Linked DNA regions of Arabidopsis thaliana. The protein of the gene in region 2 interacts with the protein of the main gene of each other region in a pairwise test. Each region holds a gene or a part of one and is shown on either strand. Other genes may lie near its edges.

Evidence for each region.
Region 1: the proteins of AT2G44130 (region 2) and RR1 interact in a protein complementation assay, tested with the Arabidopsis thaliana proteins (one study listed by BioGRID).

Annotation. Positions count from the first base shown.
Region 1 is NC_003074.8:5,754,040-5,760,286, reverse strand, and holds RR1 (response regulator 1), read right to left. Parts: upstream 4,467-6,247; 5' UTR 4,175-4,466; coding exon 3,988-4,174; intron 3,932-3,987; exon of another isoform or gene 3,573-3,931; intron 3,491-3,572; coding exon 3,338-3,490; intron 3,255-3,337; coding exon 2,814-3,254; intron 2,741-2,813; coding exon 2,664-2,740; intron 2,586-2,663; coding exon 1,440-2,585; coding exon of another isoform or gene 1,434-1,439; exon of another isoform or gene 1,217-1,433; coding exon 1,148-1,216; 3' UTR 844-1,147; downstream 1-843. Other genes in the region: COBL8 (COBRA-like protein 8 precursor), read left to right, coding at 1-644.
Region 2 is NC_003071.7:18,251,694-18,255,945, forward strand, and holds AT2G44130 (Galactose oxidase/kelch repeat superfamily protein), read left to right. Parts: upstream 1-1,916; 5' UTR 1,917-2,037; coding exon 2,038-3,267; 3' UTR 3,268-3,361; downstream 3,362-4,252. Other genes in the region: AT2G44140 (Peptidase family C54 protein), read right to left, coding at 3,413-3,579, 3,660-3,730, 3,820-3,875, 4,023-4,161.

The sequences.
Region 1 (6,247 bases), on a different chromosome or scaffold from region 2:
TGGCGCGTACTTGCAGCACAACTTCTCCAGCTCTTCCTCTTCCATATCAGGCTCTTCTAATTCCATTTGACAACCGAACCAAACTTACCAACGCTTGGGCAGTGTTAAAAAACCGGAAAGTCCCGGACCCATTACCTTGTGGAGATAACTGTGGAGTCAGCATAAACTGGCACCTAGCTACAGACTATCGAGGCGGATGGACTGCTCGAGTCACACTCTTCAACTGGGGTGATACTGATTTCGTGGATTGGTTTACCGCGGTTGAACTGAGAAATGCTGCACCCGGTTTTCAGAAAGCGTACTCGTTTAACGGAAGTATCATCGCGGTCAACGGGAAGAACACAACTGTTTTAATGGAAGGGCTCCCTGGACTGAACTATCTCCTTGCAGAGAAAGACGGAAAAAACCCGAGTGAAGACTTTCGGATACCCGGGAAACAGCAGTCGGTTATCTCCTTCACCAAGAAACTGACTCCTGGAATCAAAGTTGGTTCCAAAGATGGGTTTCCCACCAAAGTACTCTTCAACGGCCAGGAATGTTCACTCCCTTCTGTACTACCCACGAGCAACAGTCACAGGAAACATGTATCCACCTTTCTTCTCATCCTGACACCATTTTTGGCTCTACTGTTTCTTCGGATTTAAAAGTTCCAGTGAAGGACTTTCCTCATTAGCCAGAAAATATACAGTTTTCTTGATTCTTTCTAACCAGATTTGATGCAGAATTACTTCTACTACTAGTGGTGCTTTGTGCACCGTGTGATTCTTGAATTTCGTATGATCAGATTTTAGTAATCAGTATGTATACATACAAATATTGAACAGACAAATCCCTTTGTGTTTTGATCTTGAATTGCTTTGATTTCACGTTGTGGCGTTGTACTAAATTAAGTTTGTTCGAATTATTCTAAGCATTTACTCGAAATACATACTTACAAAACCCTAAACAGCCTCACTACATAAATGAGGAACAAAAGAATCTCCAAGGATATTAACCCCTAACATGAATAATTATTTCTTATATAATCTGCCATTTAAAATTTCATGCAGACTACATATATATCAAACAAGTTTTAGTAGATCGTCGTGTAAAAATGATACAGTACAGATCCGGGTAGTCCCTCCGGTTTATCGGTTTTTTTATCCAATCAAACCGGAATGTTATCGATGGAGTATGCGTCAAAGTCGAATTCGCCATCAACCGGTGCAATCCCTTCCTGTATATCAATAATTCAAGATTGTGTTTTTCAACTTTTTTGGTTCACTGATTTTTTTTGTTATTTAGTTGTAATTTGCATTATTATGAAAAAGACATGCGACCAATGGTGAGAAAGCGTCTGAGAGTTGTTATATATTTGATTTTGAACGCAAACATGTACGTTGACGGATCAGATTATGCTTCTATATAAGTTTGACAAAAAAAAAAAAATCAAATCAAACCTGCTTAAGAAGTGCGCTCATAAGATCTTCTTGATTACTATACTGCTCGTGAAACGCCATTGTTGCTGTATCCGTAGCCACTCTCTCTGATTTCACCCTCACTGAACCACCGTTTCCGTCTGCATAAACCTGATGGTGCTGTACCATTCCCGATGGTGGCTGCTGGTGGTTTCGGCCATGCTCGGTGGCTGCAACTGTCGTGTTGTGTCTTGACATGGACGAAGAAGAGTAGGCTTCTGAAGCGGAAAACGCAGCGGATTCTGAGTCCTGATGTGAGTCAAAGGCTATTCCAATATTCCTCAGATCCCAATCATTCTGTCTGGTGGTGAACATGTCGTAGCTCGGCGTAGTGAAACCCGCTTCGGAGCTGTTAACCTCTTCCTGGTAAGAAGTGGCTTTCCGAACCGGTACTGATATCCCTGGTGCACTTGCCAGCGGGAAACTGTTCACGGGAAGTTCTGGTTGGAAGTTGTTATAAGGCATCGAGCTTGATGAGTGTTGTGTTGTGAGATTAGTGTAACTTGTCGGTAACACTCTGCTGCTCTCGGGGATATTGTTCCTTCCAGAGAAACCACTTCTCTCGGAAATGCGGTTTGATAACATCGGCTGCCTGATGGATGATTGCGAAGAGGTTAGCATAGGCGGTGGTCCCCGAGGCAAAGACTGCTGACCCGCTAGAGGCATCAGCATTCCGTTGTTTTGAACACTATTTCCAGCTCGAACAGCAGCAATCTGTTGTTGAATACTCATTCGATTACCCATAGGAAGCTGCTGTTGTAAACCCGTGGGGACACCGTGAAGTAAGTTCATCTGTGGTTGCTGTTGGGGTTGTTGCCCGTGATGCCCAAGCCCTTCTCCAAATCTTGTTTTCGTGTTGTCAAAGCTGAAGATGCTTCTCTCATCCACAATGGAGGAAACCGGCAAACCTGACTTAGAGACCATCGCAGGCCGGCCTAAACCAGCGGCTTGAAGCTGTGCAAGACTCTGTGCAGGTAACTGACCTGTGACGGCTAGTGCTTGAAGATCAAACCCATTCAATGTCGAAAGAGGTCCGAAGCTCGCATCCTGACCCGTCATAAACGAGTTGTTAAGATTGCCTTGGTGCTGCGATACCCCTCCAAGCCGTCTTAGATATATCCGGTATTTCTGCAAGTCCACATAAAGCCGCTAAGAACATCTAAGCATTTCAATGGCTCATTTTGGTATCCAGTATAAGATTTATACCTGGAGGTGACTTGCTACGTTTTCTCGGGTTAGACCAGGAACATTCATCAGCTCTAAGATCTTTTTAGGAACCGCCTCTGCGCCATAGAAGATCATTTAGACCCTGAGCATAACAATCACAAATGCAAATGTAAGAAGTTTTAGTCTTACTCTCAACGCCGAGCTGATTAACAGCAGCAACAAACTGCTGATGCAATTCAACAGACCAGACGACACGCGGTTTCTTCAAATTCGACGCATCTTCGTCCTTATCATCTCCTTGCTCTTCTCCTTCCTCGTCTTTCCTCTTCCGTGAACTGCTCCTCCAATTGTTACCTTCGTTAACCGAGGATGAGTTATCATCCACCGCATCCTCTCCACCAGAAACAGCTGCACCACCACCACCTCCTCTATGTTGCTGCTGCTGTCTCTCGCCAGTCTCCTCAATGCTCCCAGAATGTTCCGGTACACTCCATTCACTTCTCCTCTTCCTAACTACATGCTGCCATATGTTCTTAAGTGCCTCCATACGTACAGGCTTGATAAGGTAATCAACCGCACCGTGCGTTACTCCCTTTAGAACCACACTCTTTGAATCATCCGCAGACATCACTAGTTAAACGAATACAAGATCAATAATCTATAAAAAAAGATTCAAACTTAGATGAGATTTGAGGGAGTAAAAAGAACGTTACTGATAACAGGTAAGTCCATCTCTAGACCAACATGCTCAAGAAGCTTGAAACCGTCCATGTCAGGCATATGAACATCACTGATTACTATATCGAATCCATGTTTGTTCTTCCGGAGCAGAGACAATGCCATCTCTGCTCTGTTGCATTTCGTTACTGCATGTCATAACAACCAAAATGTTTCATATCTTCAAAGATAAAAGAAAAAAACAGAGATTTGAATTCTGACAACAAGGACCTCATGAATTGACATTTAACCAAAACTCAAGTCAAAGATCAAAGACTCAAGATTTGAATCCATTTGAAACCTCCCCTAACTTATTATATACAATGGATCTACATGTGAATCTATCAGTAGATCAAAATGGTGTGATCTAAATGAAGAAGCTCGAGATTAATATGTGAATCTTAAAAAGTAACCAAAATGGTTTCTATTAAAGGGGGAGCAAAGTTAGTCAACCACCGATATGAAAACCATAATTATTCCTCAAAATAACATAATTTTCGAGAATGGACCACAAATAAACCCATCATTGGAGCAAGAGACCATGAACTCTCTTTCTCTCTCTCTCTCTCTCTCTCTCGTGAGATTAAACGAACAAAAAAAAAAAAAAAAAAATGAAAAGAGAAGATCTTGGTTTTTGGATACGAACCTTCGTAAAGACAAGTCCTAAGCATCCTCTCTAAGATCATGAGACAAGTTGGGTCATCGTCAACGACAAGAACTCGAAGACCAGAAGGAAACATCTCGACGACGGTCTCACCACCACCTCCTTGATTTCTACCGGAGCTGGACCCACCAGCCGATCCGAGTCCTCTTCCGTGACTCGGATTCATCATACCTCTCTCTATGTAGCTCGAACCCAAGAAACAAAAAAAGAAAAGCAGAAAAGAATATATACCCAGAAAGAAAGAGGGGAAATTGACGCGAGTTTTATTCGATTTAAAATTGAATATTATGAGAGAATACGAAATTGTTGGAGATAGAAGTGAATCTCTTCTGGGTAACCAAAAAAAAGAAGAAGAGAGAGATGGTGAGATGAGACTTAGGGAGTTGAAGAAGACAAGGCTTGTCTCACCTTAGAGCTCTTTTTCTCTGTTTTTTTATTTATTCACAGAGTAAAGCTCTCTTAATTTTTCCTATTCAATTTTTGTAACATTTAGATGCAGAAGAAAAAAAAAATGTGGTTTTTATATACTCAGTCATATATATTTTTTATTTACATATATGTAGAAGCTGACATGTCCTTTATTTTCATCATTCTCTCTACATTTAGACTATTGGTTTTATTAAATTTCATTTAGATCCACTCTCTTTTTTATTCTCAATTTCTTACAAGTTAGTTTTGTATATTATATGTACTATTGTTCTATATTCTGTTTTATTTTTCTATTTAGAAGAACATTTTGGATGTTGCTTTGAGCTCAAATTCTGGGTTATTTTGTGAAGTAGTGAAATATAGGGGTTGAATCATCAATGAAAGAAATATAGGGTAAGGAAATTTATATAATTGGGAAGAAAGTGGGACCAAAGACCCTTGATTCGTGGATCCAGCTCATGCATGAAAAAATTAATTAACTCGTCATATGTAAAGTTTGCAAACTCAAACCTTAATAGATTTTCATTAGTATTATTGTTGTTAGTTTCCTAATTTTTTGTTTTAATTTCCATTTTCTACCAATTTCGAATAGGAATTTGCCTTAAACAAAAGAGCAGCTGCATATATATATAAAAAATTCTTAGTTTTGATATGCCTATAATTTATTTACTAAACTACCCTTTGAATTTATGTAATTGAGAAACAATGCCTCCTGTCTATTGGACCTACATGTATTAAATTAAACGGCAAAATAAAAATATAATCATATCATTAAATTAAACAAAATAATACGTCTACGCACATTCAAGCATATGATTAAGGTACCAAAATACACCTAAGCATTTCCCATCATCACCTACATCTTTAGCTAAGATATAGTACATATACTTTTATCAACAAAAAAAAACCAGATATATGATGTATACATAACATAAGATTACTCGATGCCTTTTTTGGTGCAAATTAAACATATAACCTTCCAAATTTTTTAGTATGTATTTATTTCAAGTCGTGTGTAACTATGATTAGTAAGAATATAACTTATATAGTATACTTTTCATGTTTTAATCAAAAACAACTTGTAGTTCTAGGAAATAAATTGTATTAAATGGAAAATAGAAAAAAATTGTACGTTTGATTGTTGAAAACATATATATATATATATATATATATATATATGTATGTATAATTACAAGTTTACAACAACAGTAGTCAGTATATGGTGCAAAAAAAAACATGTGCGCTTCTTCTCTTAAAACGTTGGATACTAAATAAACAAAGAAATAATGCAAATGGTTCATCTGAATGATTAGTAACATCATATGCTACCCACCAATCGCCCTATTCCCCCGAAAGTATATTTTTAATAATGTATAGGATAACAAATCATATTTGACTATTCGATTGCTCTACGACATATTTATAAACACATACAAACCAGTAACTTATTTATAAATGTGTAAATTTGTCAACTTCAATGTAAACTATATCTAAGTTATCCAAGTTCAGTGTATACTTTGCTTAAATAGTTGTTTAGCACCGCCGACATGTCTTATCTTTTTCAAATTAACGATAGTTTTAAGTGTGACATACGACTTGTTTCATATGTGCATCGATACCTAATTTCTTACATTAATCAATGTTATCAAGTAAAATTCACTACTTGTAGTATTTAGAAGGAAAACTCAACAATACGAATATTAAATCAATTAAGTATTTCTTTAATTTTTATGAACTATCAACTATAGTGTATTTTCTTTTGGAAATACTGTACATGTGTATATTTCGAAGAATAAAATGAAAACATTTAATG
Region 2 (4,252 bases):
AGCAAAAAGTTTCAAAAGATGTATCCATTGTTTCTTTGACTAACGCGACCTATTGATAGCCAATATTACCATTTAGGAATGAAAATGAATCGAAAGTACTCGTTTATATGCGAAACTACTACTACTATTCAAAGAAACTCTACGTTACTTTTTCTTGACACACGACAATAATTGGTGATGAATAAAGCTAGAAAAGCTGATAGAGAGAAAATACATAAGTAGAGAGTAATCAAAGAAAGGACAATTGACGAAACAAGAACAGACAATGTGGGGAAAATGGGATAGAGTGTAATGGACCAGCCCCCTATTAATGTTCGACCCCATTCTTATTATTTTCCTTCTTATCCCCGACTTTCATTTTTCTTCTTGTCTATCTATGTTCATATCGTGCGCTAACACCCAAATTAATCTTCTTCCCTTGAAACATGTTTTAAATAACGGCACAAATAGTAAGCGTAGATTCATAAATAACCCCAAAGTAAAACAACAGAAAGCATCATTAATTATCCGGTGGAGACGAGATGACTTGTGTGAGGCTGGAAGTCCGCGAGACATACCTTTACGTCGGTGCATCGCAGAATAGACGTGTCAACGTTTTAATATAATATGTTGAATAATCGAAGAGTAAGACCCAAGGATAGTTAATGCCAATGTATATCCATGAGAACTTCTTCTAGAAGACTATAATAAAGTAGAAACCTTTATAAAGTTATAATCAATCATAATATTATTGATGAATCTTATATTCAAACGAAACTGCCCTCGCAATTTTCTACGTAAAATAATACGTATTACAAAATTAAAAACACATGATGATATCTTACAACTTATAACAACTAAGCACAAATTTTTTGGCAAAACATAAAGAATCTATACATATGGACTATTCGTGAAAGAATTTGTTTGATAGTGCGTGCACATGCCAATATGAAATGAAAATGTCCATCATACATATTAATATACCTGTTTTAAATTGTAGTAAATTAGGGAGAAACAGTTCACGAGATGTTTACTTATCGGTTGACGGTTGCGTCAGTGAATACGACTCATTCCTTATTACTCCATATTATTTGTCTTTGCATAGCTTCTAGAAGCTTTTTGTTATTTCAAATAAAAAGTGATGGTAAAGACTAAAAAGCTCACTACTGGTCTTCGTGAACTTTATTATCAAGATGTCATAGATTCGGTTTCAATTGACACTGAAATGGAATAGTAATCTAGATATCTAGTTGATAAACTAGTTTAAAAAGTTATTAGTTCAAACTGTTTTTAAACTATAGACGCTATACAGTGGTAAAAGCGTTAAACAAAAAGTGCGGCGCAGTATACTGTCAATTTAATTTGTGATTATAATATACAATATTGTTACCTAACTTCACTTAACCAAGTAACCACTGACCTAACTTCAACTATTTGCCTTTACAATTTACATCATGAAACAACATGGACATTTCTTGAATTTTTGGTTGATATTCAAATAATCAAATTCTTATGGAGTATATGATTTACTCCACTGTTAGTTGTTCATTTTGTCCTTATGAAAGTCTTCTAGAAGCTTTCTACTTTTCCTGTTTTATGAAAAGATTGTTTTAACAAAAGCACCGTCTTCATGAACTAAACCAGTTGTTATAGATTCCATTTCAAAGTTTTATTCCTTATTAAGGAAATCGCATCAAAGTAACCCATGTGTTGACTCTTGCCTGTTTGGTGAGATTGAAAGGGAATGATTAAGAAATAAATTTTTAGATACGTTTGCGTTTTGCAACATACACGAATCTTGATTTTTTTCATACGCTGCTAAATCAAGTTTATAGGGGTTTTTAAAAATTTAAACGAACCGTCGCGTTATTTCAACCGCAAGCAAACTCATCCTCCTCTTTCCCTATTTAAAGGCTCTGCCACCTCTTTGTAGCTTCACACTCACTCAAATTTAAATCGCAACTTTCGTCAGTTTTTGTGTGTTTTCTTCTACACATAGACACTTTGCTCAATCAAACACACTCTCTGTTCTGTTTTTCTCAAACTTGTTTAAGTTCGATGACTATGGAAGTGTCGAAAAAGAAAGGTGGAGATTTTCAGCAATGTCACGAATTGATTCCCGGTTTACCTTCCGAACTAGCTTTGGAGTGTTTGGTCAGAGTTCCGTTCCAATTCCAATCCGCCATGAGATCCGTTTGCCGTTCTTGGCGTAGCTTACTCTCCGACTCTTCTTTTATCCAAGAACGGCGGAGATGCGGCAAAACAGAGCTTCTCCTCTGCCTCGTTCAACCGCTAACGCCGCCAATTCCAGCGTCTAAATCGGTTGACGAGACATTAATGGTTGACGAGAAAAAATCAGAGGATGAGTCACACCCGCGCGTTTTCTGCACGCCGCGTTTTGGATTGAGCGTTTACAACGCTGCGATGTCCACGTGGCATCGCGTTGCGTTTCCAGAGGAGGAGCAGATCCCGCTTTTCTGCGAGTGCGTCGTGCTTCAGGACGCCGGGAAGATTCTGCTCATCGGCGGTTGGGATCCGGAGACGTTACAGCCGACGAGAGACGTTTACGTTCTGGAATTCGCCGGAAGGAAGTGGAGACGAGGTGCGCCAATGAAGGAATCACGATCATTCTTCGCCTGCGCCTCCGTAAGTCCAACGAAGGTATACGTCGCCGGAGGTCACGACGATCAGAAAAACGCTTTACGCTCGGCGGAGGTGTACGACGTCGAGAAAGACGAGTGGTCGTCGGTTACTCCGATGACGGAAGGAAGAGACGAATGTCAAGGATTCGCCGTTGGTATGGGTCTAAGGTTTTGCGTGCTGAGCGGTTACGGAACGGAATCTCAAGGAAGATTCCGATCTGACGGAGAAATTTACGATCCAGCGACAGATTCATGGTCGAGAATCGACAACGTCTGGCGATTTCCAGATACTAGCCCGAGAGGTCGCACCGCCGGAGACTTTAGAAGCTCCTCTACGTTATGGTGTTTCACAGACACTGATTTACAGAGTGAACGTCGATGGGAAACTAACGATGATTCGAGAAATTTGAAACTGGATCTTCAATCTATACAGCTTCCGATGACAGGAAGCTCAGTTTTCGCCGGAAGCTTAGGAGGTGAATCGGTGGTAATGATTGGCGGTAAAAGAGAGAGTGAAGGTGAAGGTGAAGGAGGAGTGATGATGAAGATGACGACTGAGAAGAAAATGGGAAAATGGAGTCATCATGTTCATATACCTTGTGATTTCTCTACTCTTCCATTTTCGCATGCTTCAATCTATGTTTGAAAATCCCAAAAGATTTTATAGTACAACATTGTGTTCTGATCTGATGTAATATACACCAACACATATAAAAAACAAAGAACTGGTTAACAAAAGGAAAAAAAGAATTGTAGCTTGAGATTGTTAAAATGTTTGACGATGATCATGATCAGAGCATTTGCCAGTCATCTTCACGTTCATCCTCGCTGTCGTCATCCGCAAACCCGTAGTTGCTTTGGTTTATCGCTGTGTGGGTTTGAGTCACTGTGAACAATGGAGCACCGTTTGATTCCTCAGCTAGTTTCAATGCTCGGAGACAGAAATCGTCGAAATCATCTGTTGAAGATTAGGGAAAGGTTTTTTCAAGTTACAGAATTTAAAAACTTTTGGTTTCAGAGAATGTAGTAATACAATACCTTTGTCGCGGCAATAGAATCCTAGAGCTAGAGATGGGTCGAGTGATTCCAAAGGAACATAACGAAGGACACTGATGCAGATTCAAGATAAAATTAAGAAACAAGATAAAACTGAACCAGGCAAAAGTCGTCTGTGACATGATAATTTGAGGAGACTCACTTGCAATGATAGGAGGATGTGTCAACATCTGGTGTTTCCTTGTTGACTGTGACCACCTAAATCAATCATCAAACGATAAGTCTCAATCAGTATCCGACTTATCATGTGAAATGGCATCTTATCCGACTTAGGTACTATGGACCACCACAATGCCAGACCAAGATTTATGGACTCTAAAAAAATTCAGAGGCACGAAATGAAACCTGTTGAACTTCATGCGGATCAAGGTAGAAACCTTTGTCTTCTTGAACACCAACTATGTAAGTTGAGGCACCTGGTTTGCCACCCAAAATCCCCACGCTCTGAGGAAAAGTGAATGTGGCTACGAGAGATGGAATGTACCTGTCATCAGATTATAGCAATACGTCAGAAAGGTCAAGTACAAATACGAGTCGAGCATAACAGAGATAATGGAATCAATTTCACAGTTGCA